Linked DNA regions of Danio rerio. The protein of the gene in region 2 purifies or fractionates together with the protein of the main gene of each other region. This does not show direct contact. Links are inferred from orthologs where the notes say so. Each region holds a gene or a part of one and is shown on either strand. Other genes may lie near its edges.

Evidence for each region. The genes of interacting proteins can lie anywhere in the genome.
Region 1: the proteins of bcar1 (region 2) and bcar3 purify together in Homo sapiens (co-immunoprecipitation; 4 studies listed by BioGRID and IntAct, counting the BioPlex papers as one, with this or other methods). This does not show direct contact. The link is inferred for Danio rerio from reciprocal best matches to the Homo sapiens genes BCAR1 and BCAR3.
Region 3: the proteins of bcar1 (region 2) and pxna purify together in Homo sapiens (affinity purification with western blotting; 3 studies listed by BioGRID, with this or other methods). This does not show direct contact. The link is inferred for Danio rerio from reciprocal best matches to the Homo sapiens genes BCAR1 and PXN.

Annotation. Positions count from the first base shown.
Region 1 is NC_133183.1:16,860,916-16,864,961, reverse strand, and holds part of bcar3 (breast cancer anti-estrogen resistance protein 3), read left to right. Parts: intron 1-2,343; coding exon 2,344-2,444; intron 2,445-4,046. UniProt on the Homo sapiens protein: Acts as an adapter protein downstream of several growth factor receptors to promote cell proliferation, migration, and redistribution of actin fibers.
Region 2 is NC_133193.1:24,021,842-24,025,887, forward strand, and holds part of bcar1 (breast cancer anti-estrogen resistance protein 1), read left to right. Parts: intron 1-547; coding exon 548-1,237; intron 1,238-4,046. UniProt on the Homo sapiens protein: Docking protein which plays a central coordinating role for tyrosine kinase-based signaling related to cell adhesion. Implicated in induction of cell migration and cell branching. Involved in the BCAR3-mediated inhibition of TGFB signaling.
Region 3 is NC_133180.1:7,364,960-7,369,005, forward strand, and holds part of pxna (paxillin a), read left to right. Parts: intron 1-1,814; exon of another isoform or gene 1,815-1,873; coding exon 1,874-2,079; intron 2,080-3,715; coding exon 3,716-3,923; intron 3,924-4,046. UniProt on the Homo sapiens protein: Cytoskeletal protein involved in actin-membrane attachment at sites of cell adhesion to the extracellular matrix (focal adhesion). Recruits other proteins such as TRIM15 to focal adhesion.

The DNA of each region.
Region 1 (4,046 bases), on a different chromosome or scaffold from region 2:
AGAGAAGGATTAATTAATTTATTCGTCATGGGATTTAAAACTACTTACAACTGATTCCATATAGAAATCTTTCATTATTACAAATTGAAATGACATGAATGACATTCAAGTTCATATTAAAATTTCACATATATCATGTATACACCACTAGTGGAAAGTTTTGGTCAGTAGGATTTTTAAATGTTGTAAAATAAGCTTCTCCTGCTTACCAAGACTGCATTTATTTCAGCATAAATACAGTACAAATTGTAACATTGTGAAATATTATTGCACTATAAAATAACTGTTCAAAAGAAGTTTATCATTTCATTTAATCATTTATTGCTGTGATTTAATGATGAATTTTCAGCTTCATTACTTTAGTCTTTAGTCACATGATCCTTTAGAAATCACACTGTTGTTGTTGTTGTTGTTATAATTATTGATGGTAATAATAATAAAAGCAAGAATAAGAAAGCAGTTATTTAAGATTTTTATAAATATTTTAGAATTTAACAAATTTTCTTTTTATTTAATAAATGCCGCCTTGATAAACAGAATAATTTTCTTTAAAAAAAAAACATGAAAAACTTACAATTTACAGTTGAAGTCAGAATTATTACCTCCCCTTTTAATTTTTTCCCCCAATTTCTGTTTTAACGGAATAAAGATTTTATTAAAAACTGTTATAAAAATAAGTTTTAATAACTCATTTCTAATAACTGATTTATTTTATCTTTGCCATGATGACAGTAAATCATATTTGACTAGATATGTTTCAAGACACTTCTATATGTGACATTTAAAACCTTAACTAGGTTAACTAGGCAGGTTAGGGTAATTAGGCAAGTTATCTTATAATGATGGTTTGTTCTGTAGACTATCGAAAAACTTATATAGCTTAAAGGGGCTAATCATTTTGATCTTAAAATGTTTTACAAATTTTAAATTGCTATTATTCAAGCCGAAATAAAGCAAATTAGACTTTCTTTAGAAGAAAGAATATTGTCAGACATACTGTGAAAATTTCCTTGCTCTGTTAAACATCATTTGAGAAATATTTAAAAAAGAAAAAAAAAAAATCAAAGGGGGGCTAATAATTCTGACTTCAACTGTATATTAGTCACATTAGCTATAATTTTAAATGTCTAATACAAAATATTTATTTTATTCCAGTGGTTGAAAAGAATCTGTAATCTGCCATTTGCAATGTTTTGAAATATATGTTGATTATAGGACATACTGTATGTTTTATATATATGAAATCAAAATATATGTATTTATGCTTTAGATTTTTATATAAGATTCTAGTTCTCAAACTGCATTATTTAGCATGTTCAGAATGTTCAGAAATGTGTATTTTGTAATGCACAATTCAGCAGATTAAAATAATAATCATAAAATACAAAAAAATGATCATTTCATATATCTAACCTTTCATTCAACAATTTGACTTTCAAAGCTTGGTGCTAATGTGATTACAAAAAGTGTGTACTCTTTAAAAAGTTTAATTATAAAAAACAACTGTTGTGTTATTTAAGCAAATCTGCTTCATATACAGGTCAAATCTGAATAGAGAAAATTACATATATAGAAATAATATAAAATATATATATATATATATGTTTTTTTTTTGGTTTTTGATCTGTTAGTTGCATGCCTATATATATATATATATATATATATATATATATATATATATATATATATATATATATATATATATATATATATATATATATATATATATATAAACAGTTCTGTTATTCAAGCAATTCCGCTTCTCATAATTGAGGGCAACTTTGAAAATGGCAGGCAATAAAATTAAAATTTTTTATACCAATTACTGTGGAGTGACTCTTCTCAATGGTGGACATTTCTCAATGGTAGTCTCTAAGAAATCATTGACAGTACAGTTTATATTTGGAAGGGAACAAGTTCAACCTGTCCAAATAATTGAAAAACATTATTTATGCTGAACCGCTTATTTAATTAGCCCTGGCCTGCAGTGTGACAGATCCACAATAACGACAGCTTTTAAGCATTAAAATGCATAAAGTAAGTGAAAACCTCCTTCGTGACAATTCAGCATAAAACTTTTGGAAACAATGTCAAATTCAGCATAAAACTTCTAGAAACAATGTGTCAAAACAGCTCACCACTGTGCAGATTTTAAAAAACGATAGCGCAGACTGGATGCCCTCACACTAACTGAGAGACTTTATGGAATTTATACTTTGAAAAATTCATGTCACGCCACAAGAAGCCCAGCAGAATGAATGCAATTAAAAGTGGTGTAAACTTAATACCAGCCTAAAAGACTTCTAGAGAAGAAACTAAATAACTTGTCTTTCTCCTTCACAGCAACAAGGATAAATGTGGAAGTCAACCAGCATGTCTAAACCACGTTCAGGAGAGGAGACGGCCGCTGAAGACCCATCAGTCGGAGAGCTTCCTCCCTATCGGTGAGTTCCTGTCAGCTCTCATCCGCCTTGATTCCCCGTCACGCCGCTGATACACACATCTGACAGCCCTGAAAACCACTCATCTTCCTCGCATTCGCTCTCAGCCAAAGTGAAAACGATTCTCAAAGTCAAGCTGACGTTCCCGCCTTTGAAATTCACTTCGGGTTACTGAACGTTAAACGTGTGAAATGAGACGTGGGATTGAAATGCAAAAATAAAATGTTTTGTGGAAGAAACTCTGTGGCAAAGAATGAAAGCGGAGATGGAGATAATTTATGCCTGCGTCAGTAGAATAAATATGGTTATGTGAAAAACGCAGTTTTGCTGTCCATGTCAGAAAACAGAGAGCTGAATCTGCTTTGCCGTGCAGAATGCCAATAGAAAACTTCAGATCGGCAGCTTCCATCTTTCTTAATCCATTTACAACAGATAGTCTGTGAAATAATGAAAAAAAAAACAGTGTGATTTTTTTTCATGTCAAGTCCAGAAATACTTTTATATACAGTTGAAGTCATTACTAGCCCTTATTTGATTTCTTTCCAAATATTTCCCAAATTATTTTTTAACAGAGCAAGGAATCTTTCACAGTATTTCCTATAAGTAAAAAAGTCTTATTTGTCTTATTTTGGCTAAAATAAAAGCAGTTTTATTTGTTTGAAAAACATTTTAAGATCAATATTATTAGCGCTCTTATTAGCAATATTTTATTTCAAACATCAGGGCCCAGTTTTCACATACATTTATTTAGATCAGATTTGAAAATCCCATGTTTTGCTATCCAGGATTTACTGATCCATCTTACTTTTATAACAGTTTTAAAGAAGCCTCAAATGGAATCAATTGTGTAGCCTACTCTCTTAGCAATAAACAACAGGTAGGCAAAGTACCAGTGGCCACAAACAGCCATTGTTTGTTTAATGGTAAGAAACAGAAACACTGCAATCAACAAGGATATAACATTGTTTACAGTAGTGTTCTAATACAATACTGCTTTAATATTGTTTTGCTGTTTTTGTTTACCGTACCGCATTAGATGTGACATGCTTTATATAGACTTTAAATATGACAGAATTTATATATCATAAGTAACCATTAAGTTTGTGATCATTTACTTAAAAAACAAAACCTTTTTTATTTTATTTGGTTCAAAAAAAGTCGAAACTGAATCCACCCTTGTGATGGGATGAGGATAATCCTGTTTTTTTGTGTCAAATAGATCCCAATTTGAGTTCAAAGTTTTACATAACCCAAAGGGCAGGTTTGATTTAAATCCAATGTAAGATTGAATTACGTGGTCTGATCTTAATACAAAATTCCTGTTACTTTTGAAAATCCCATTTCCAAGATTTGATCCAATCCGTGATCCAAAATCCCACTGGATTACTGTTGAAAAACTGGGCCCTGCAGAATAAACTATCGTTATACAGTGACTTGCCTAATTACCATTACCTGCCTAGTTAACCTTATTAACCTAGTTAAGCCTTTAAATGTCACTTTAGGGTGCATACTTGTATGTTGGAAAATATGTGGTAAAATATTATTTACTGTCATCATGACAAAGATAAAATAAATCAGTTATTAGAAATGAGTTATTGAAACTAT
Region 2 (4,046 bases):
TTTGCCATGCTCTATGGCACACTCACCGAAGTGCTCAGTGTGATGTACCTGTACTATTGAATAAACAAGTTCATGAATTGCAACAAACAAGCAAGCAAATGAAAAGAATGTGGATGACATTAGCAATTTCAATCACAGTCCAGTTGTTTTGGTAGCAGAGTGTTAGTATTAACAGCAAATATTAATATTTAGATTTATTTATTCATTTATTTTCCTTCGGCTTAGTCTCCTGATGCATCAGGGGTCACCACAGAGGATGCTCTTTCAGCTGCAACCCAGTACTGGGAAAAATCTTTACACACTCATACATCATATGCTCATACATTATGGCCAATTTAGTTTATTCAATTCACCTACCGACACGAATATAGAGAGAACAAGCAAACTCCACACAGAAATGCTAACTGACTAAGCTAGGCCTTGAACTAGCAACCTTCTTGCTATGAGGCGATTATGCTACCCACTTTGCCACCGTGTCGCCCTCTATTTTGAGTTACACTCTTCATTTTATAACATAAACTTAACCTTTCTCTCTTCTCTCTTGCAGAATGTGTTGGCAAAAGCCCTGTATGACAATGTGGCGGAGTCTCCAGACGAGTTGTCCTTTCGGAAGGGCGACATCATGACCGTGCTGGAGCGGGACACGCAGGGCTTGGAAGGCTGGTGGCTCTGTTCGCTGCATGGCCGGCAAGGAATTGTTCCTGGCAACCGGCTGAAGATTCTCGTTGGCATGTATGATAAGCAGCAACAGCAGCAGCTACAGCAGTTAGCGAACCAACCCAGCCCAACCCAGAGCCTCATCAACCTGCCTCAGAGTGCCTACAACAAGATACCCCCTGCAGCCCAGTACACGGCCATGCACCCCGCCTTCACCCCCTCTGGCTCTGCCAACTCCACCAACCCAGACGGCGTTTACATGCTGCCCCCCAGCCATGGCTCTAGCCTCTACCAGGTGCCCTCCGGCCCCCCGACTCCACAGCCCCAACCCAAGGCCCCCGCTTTAGCAAAGAAGCAAACTCATGTGCAGTACCCTCCCACTACACAGGATGTCTACCAGGTGCCCCCCTCCATTAACGCACCAGGCCAGGACATCTACCAGGTGCCACCCGCTGCAGGAGGGCAGTGTCCCGGGCAGGACGTGTACCAGGTGCCACCCTCTGTGAACCAGACACAGGATGTTTACCAGATTCCCCCATCTTTAGACAGGAGCTGGGACTCTCCCAAACCCATGGGGAAGGTAGGGAAAGATCCTTTTGTATACACATATATGTAACACGTTTTCAGACATTTACTTTCATAATAAATAGCTTAACCTAAAAGCTGTATTTAATTTAATTTAATTTAATTTAATTTAATTTAATTTAATTTTATTTTATTTTATTTTATTTTATTTTATTTTATTATTTTATTTTATTTTATTTAACTAAATTTTAAAATTTATTTAAATTATTTTATTTATTTTAATTATTTTATTTATTTATTTATTTACTAATTTTTTTGTTTATTTATTTATTTATTTATTTACACACTTGAAATATTATTAATAATAATAATAACAATAATTTTTTTTAACCTCTAAAATATGTGATATTGTGATATTGTAGACAAAATTTAAATATCATTATATATTAAGTATTAATTGTATTGTATTAATTATTATGATTATGAATATCACTATTACTACTGATATTATTGCAACTATAATTTTATATTTTTATTTATTCTTTCATCTTGTAATCTCCAATTGATTTCTTTTAATGATTAGATTTAGATATATAATAAACATTTTAAAACCACATGAAATCCATCTTTTTTTTTTCCTAAACCATATTCCATGTCCTATTATTAAGAATTGACTGGCTTGTGTTATTATTATTATTTATTTATTTATTTTTATGAAAACATTATAAATAAATAAATAATTTTATTATATGTATGCTTTAAATTTTATTTTATTTTCATTATTTTTATGTTTTAAGTATTATGTAGTGTATTTTCTATCCTATTTCTATCCTACATAATTAATTGGTGAATATAAAAAACATTTGATGATAATAAATAAATGTTTATAATATAACCTTCTCAACTGTTACACTTTAAATTCATTTTTGTTGACCATTTTCATACATGAACTTGTGTGATAAAATATATAATGAAAAACATACAGAAATATGATGTGAGAAATATAGACTGACAAAAGGAGGGGTTATGAAGGAGGAGTGAAAGATGGTCATAAATAATGCAGAGTTTGATAACGCCGCTGACCGTGGGCCACACAGAGTGAGTAAGCAGTTTTTTTGAGTGGTAACTTCAGGTTGAAGCTATGGGCAGTGACCGTCTTTTGAGAGAGTGTTTCAGGCCACTCTTAGGGCACTGAGCCATACTGTATGCAGTGGAGAGGGAAATCAAGTGTAAAGATGGAGAGGTTCAGCTGCAGGCCTGCTCTGTGTTGGCCACCTGTCATATCTGATCTACCTACAGCAATAGTGACTCAGTGCCAATGCTTCTGCTCATCCTGTTCACTGTTATGTAGGTTTTTAAAACTGTAGCATGCTAATGTTGTTCATGTGTATTGCGCATCATTACTTACATGTTGATTACATAATAAACAACTGAAAGCAGGCAAGGCAACGCCATGGCGCAGTAGGTACTGCTGTCACCTCACAGCAAGAACGTCACTGGTTCGAGCCTCTGCTGGGTCAGTTGGTGTTTCTGTGTGGAGTTTGCATGTTCTCCCTGCATTTGCGCAGGTTTCCTCGGGTGCTCCGGTTTCCCCCACAGTCCAAAGACATGCGGTACAGGTGAATTGGGTAGGCTAAATTGTCCGTAGTGTATGAGTGTGAATTAGTGTGTGTGAATGTTTTCCAGAGATGGGCTGCGGCTGGAAGGGCATCCGCTGCGTAAAACATGTGCTGTATAAGTTAGCGGTTCATTCCGCTATGGCAACCCCAGATTAATAAAGGGACTACGCCAAAAAGAAAATGAATGAATGCATGAATGAAAGCAGGCAGGCAGTTTTAACTACCATGATGCATATTACCTTCTCATTGTGTGGAGAGTTTCCATTGCGAGAAATGACTGTGGTCACACCATAATACAGTATCGGGTTATACAGGGTTTCCACAGATCTGGAAAGGATAGAAATTTGACAGGGTAATTTCCAGGGATGGAAAAGTCAAGGAAATTAATAAAACATATCCTGTAGTGCAGGGTCTGGATCATGAGGGCACCGCAGGGAATTTGTCAGCTGATTAAAAATATATAAAATCATGAATAAAAAAGCATTATTAAAATTTTGAAATATTTATGTTTATCCATATGTCAGGAGATTTTTAAGAAATTTTAAGACAACATAAGGATTCTTTAATAATAAAATAATTTGAATATTAAGTAAAGATCATGTTCTATAAAGTATTTTGGTACATTTCTGACTGCAAATAAATCAATTTTATTTTATATCATAAATATTAACTTTATTTTATATCATAAATATCATTATATATTCATTCATTCATTTACTTTTTAGCTTAGTCCCTTTATTATAAATCAGGGGTCACCACAGCGATATGAACCGCCAACGTATCCACCATATGATTTATGCAGTGGATGCCCTTCCAGCTGCAATCTAACTCAGCGAAACACCCATACACTCCTGCATTCACACACAGACACTACGGCCAATTTAGCTTATTCAATTAACCTGTATCGCATTGGACTGAGGGGGAATCCAGAGCACCCTTAGGAAACCAACGCAAACTCCTTACAGAAATGCCAGCTGACCCAGCCAGGGCTTGAATCTGTGACCTTCTTGCTGTGAGGCGATTGTTCTATTCACTGCGCCACCGTGATGCCCCTATCATTATATGTGAAATTCAATATCATTGGAAAACTCACACTTGCATTGAAATTGACATTTATTACTGGTTTATGGTTTTGTGGTCTAGGGTCACATATGTATTTAAATTACTGAAGTAGTAGGTTAAAATGTACACTCACCGGCCACTTTATTAGGTAAAGCTTACTATTACCGGGTTGGACTCCCGTTT
Region 3 (4,046 bases), on a different chromosome or scaffold from region 2:
GTACAGCTGGACTTTTACAGCTCACTGGTTCACTTTAGCAATCATATAGAGTTGTCATGCTGCAATCAATCACTTCCTGTATAGACATGGCGTAACACGCTTCATAGCAAAACTGGTGATGCAACCCCTATCTAAAGGTGCTTTCTTTTCATATCTAATTGCTATATGTAGGACTTTTAACCACAGATGGTCTATAGTTCCTTAAGAGCATGTTTTACAGGCTTAGTTGTGTGTGTGTGTGTGAGAGAGAGAGTGCTTTCAGCTCCATTCCTGAGCGTTTGGCTTTTGAACATTGATTTTTTTTCGTCTTATGTGCATTAAGAGGTGTGTGTGTGTGTCCGTTTATGCATTTTGCGCTTTTCTTCCTGCTGAATCTGTCCCTGTAGGCATGTTGTTTTAGAGCAGTCTTTACATGCAAGGTTTGGCCACACCCCATATGAGCGAAGTGATTTCACCATCCTCGTCCTGTGGTTCATAATTATCCCACTGTTCCAGGATCAGATCCAGACCAGGAAGAGACATGTTGTGAAGAGACTTGACAAAGAGTTATTCAACAACAAGCCGCTTGATTTCTGATAGATTTATGTTGTTTGCAAAACCAATGAAGGGAATGTGAATCTAAAGCGCATATCAGAATTCTGGAAGCTCTTGGAATCAGCAAATTGTTATAAGCTTTTTTTGTTTTTTATGAATGTTTAAGGGGTGTGTGGCATGATCATGGGCGTAAATCTGATTTAACAGTAGGGGAGACAGTAAACATAAAATTTCTTTCCAGCATTTTTTTGAAGGGGACACAAATAATACAGCCGATTTGTACTAAGAAAGAAATGTCCCCGCAGTTCAAAATGGTTTCATCATTATTAGTATAGCATGGAGACTACGCCATTATGATTAGCTTTAAAGTTTTTCTCAGGTTCAATAACAAAGCAAATTTTTCTATTTTTTGCATTGTTTGTTGTGTTGTTTACAGTCAACAGACTGACTCCTGAAGCAGAATAAATTGGAAGGGAGGGGATATGTCCCCCCCATCCCCCCCGGGATTTACGTCTCTGGGCATGATATTATACAGTGCTCAGGGTAAATGAGTACACCCTCTTTTATTAAACCGTTATGTCCGTTAAAATACGAGTTTGGCCACCTAATATTATTTAGGAATACAAAGATAATTCATTTTATTTCAAAAGAGTTATTGCAAATTAAAAAAACTAATAAATAGAAATGAACAGTTGAAGTCAGAATTATTAGCCCCCCTTGACATTCTTTCTCTTTTTTTTATATTTTCCAAATGATGTTTAACAGATTCAGGAAATTTTCACTGTATGTCTGATAATATTTTTTCTTATTTGTTTTATTTCAGCTAGAATGAAAACGTTTCTTAATTTTTTAAACACCATTTTAAGGACAATATTATCATCAATATGATCAATATTATCATCCCCATTTAGGCAACTTTTTTTTCGATAGTCTACAAAACAAACTAGGGCTGCACGATTAATCGAAAAAAGATCATGATCTCGATTCGACCCTACACACGATCTTAATTCAGCTTTTCTACCATTCAGCCAATCATATTTTCAAGGTCAGGAGAGAAGCTTAAAAGTGGTCGCACAAGTCTTCACAGCAACACTGACACCTTCAAATGGCGTTAATGTTGTTTTAATTAATGTTATTTTTCATTTTAATTAAATTAATTAAATGTAATTAATTATTTTTTATTTAAATTATTTATTTAAATTAATACATTTTATTTTTTGAATTAATAAATAACATTTATAAAAAATAATTTATTTATTTGTTTTATTTTGTTTATTTAGTCTTTAAATTAGCTGTTTTCTTGATTAAAACCATTGCTTTATTTATTTCTACCTAACAGATGCTCTTCTCGCGGATTTGGAGTCCACAACCTCCCACATTTCCAAACAAGGTGTTTTTCTGCCAGAAGAGACGCCATATTCCTGCCCCAGAGGAAGCGACTCTTATCAGGACGTGTCGTCTCCGCCTCGAGTAATCTCCCCTCCTGCTGAAACTCTGAATGGATCTTGGGTAGAAAAACCAGAATCAAAGCACTCATCAACCCAGGTAAAATGCATCATCATTACTTCCTGAAGGGTTTTCTGTTGCTCTTTATATGAGTCTCCTTGGTTATCCTTTAACCTTATGACAAATACCAGATGCGGCCTGTTCCACTTTCTGCTTGTTTTGCCCTCAAGCAAAGCACTTCATCTTTGGTTGCTCCAGAGGCTTGTGCCATTAAGCAGGTTCAGGAGATTCAAGGTTATATTTGTTAGATCTGCATAATACATCTAAAAAGTATCGTTATCTTGATAATAGTATATGCAATATACAGTTGAAATCAGAATTAGTAGCCCTCCTGGATTATTAGCCCTCCTGTATTTTTCCCAATTTCTGTTTAACGGAGAGAGGATTTTGCAGCACATTTCTGAACATAATAGTTTTAATAACTCATTTCTAATAACTGATTTCTTCAATATTTACCATAATGACAGTACATAATATTTTACTGGATATCATTTCAAGACATTAGTACTCTGCTTAATGTGACATTTAAAGGCTTAACCAGTTAAACTCTGCGGACCCGGTACTGGGTCCGTGACGTCATCAACTTTCACTTTAAGATTTAAAGGGCTAGCATTGCACCAGACCCCCATAAGTGGTTTCGTTTGAAAGTGTAGAATCTATATTTTATCCACATATGCATCACTTTGGTTTTTATTCTATTGTACAAAAGTTATTTACTCTTAAATACACAGTATTTTGGATACCCGAGCTGGGTATTGAACATTGTTTCATTTTCATATTGTTCATATATGACACATGTACAAGTTATAGCTCAAATGAAAGCTCTTGCCGGTGCTCATACGGTTCTAGCATTCTTTTTACTGAATTATATTCACATATTAAATAGTTTTCGAATGAATCGCGGTGTCTCCATGGCGCAGGAGTAAAAGCAATACATTTATGACCAATAAGCAGCCCCAGATAGCACAGACAGCTGTCATCTCTTACCTTATGCTGTGCTATTCAGGGCCAATTCTCCACTGTTTTTGAGGTGATGTGTTTTGTGTTTACCTCATGGTTAAAGTTGGTGCACGTCTGCCGGTTCCTGCCTCAAAATGAGCGAGTTTAAGCCACTTGTACATTAAGGAAGCGTTCAGAAAAAAAACACACCAGTGAAGAAACTCGACACAGATGAACAAACACCTCACTGCCAACCAGCGTTTTTGCAGAACAACAGAAACAGCGCGCAGAAGTCTAAACGCACAGCTACGCGCGTTGCATGCGCCGTGGGTCATGCCAATCACTTGACACAGGAGTATAAACCAGACTTTAAGCGGCTGTATATCTCTTCATAGCAATCCCTAAATTGCTATTAGCTATAAATAAGCAGGGGAATTCTCGAGATCTACCTGAGCTCAAACTCCCCTCTTGTCCTGCAAACAGGAGGGAGCCCCGTGCTCGAGGATCTTCTGAGCTCTTATGAGCTGCCAAATACACTTTTTAATCATCAGCTAAGTGTAAACTCTTGAAATGACTTGTAATTCTGAAATTTTAGTTCTGATTTGGTAAAAAGTATTTTTATTATTTGTTTTACCAGGTGAAAAAAGTCTGAATTATTAGTGAAAATGTTGCAATTTAATTTGCTTTCATTTGTAAAGTTAATGTACTTAATTGTAAAACATTTTTCTTTTCTCAGTCTTTCAACTCCGCCCCGAAAAGCAGCAGCCCTCGCGTGTCGCAGTCTGAGGAAGAGCACGTCTACAGTTTCCCCAACAAACAGAAGTCGATTGAGTCTCCCACCGCCGTCATGAACTCCTCTCTGGGCAGCAACCTGTCAGAACTGGACCGTCTGCTGCTGGAACTTAACGCTGTGCAGCACAGCACTCCCTCTTTCCCTGCTGAAGGTCAGTTTGTAAAGCACCAAATCATCACATGTGCACTTTTGACATGGATATCAAACAATCTAATAAAGTGTTTCCCGACCCTGTTCCTGGAGGCACATCAACAGTACTTGTTTTGGATGTCTC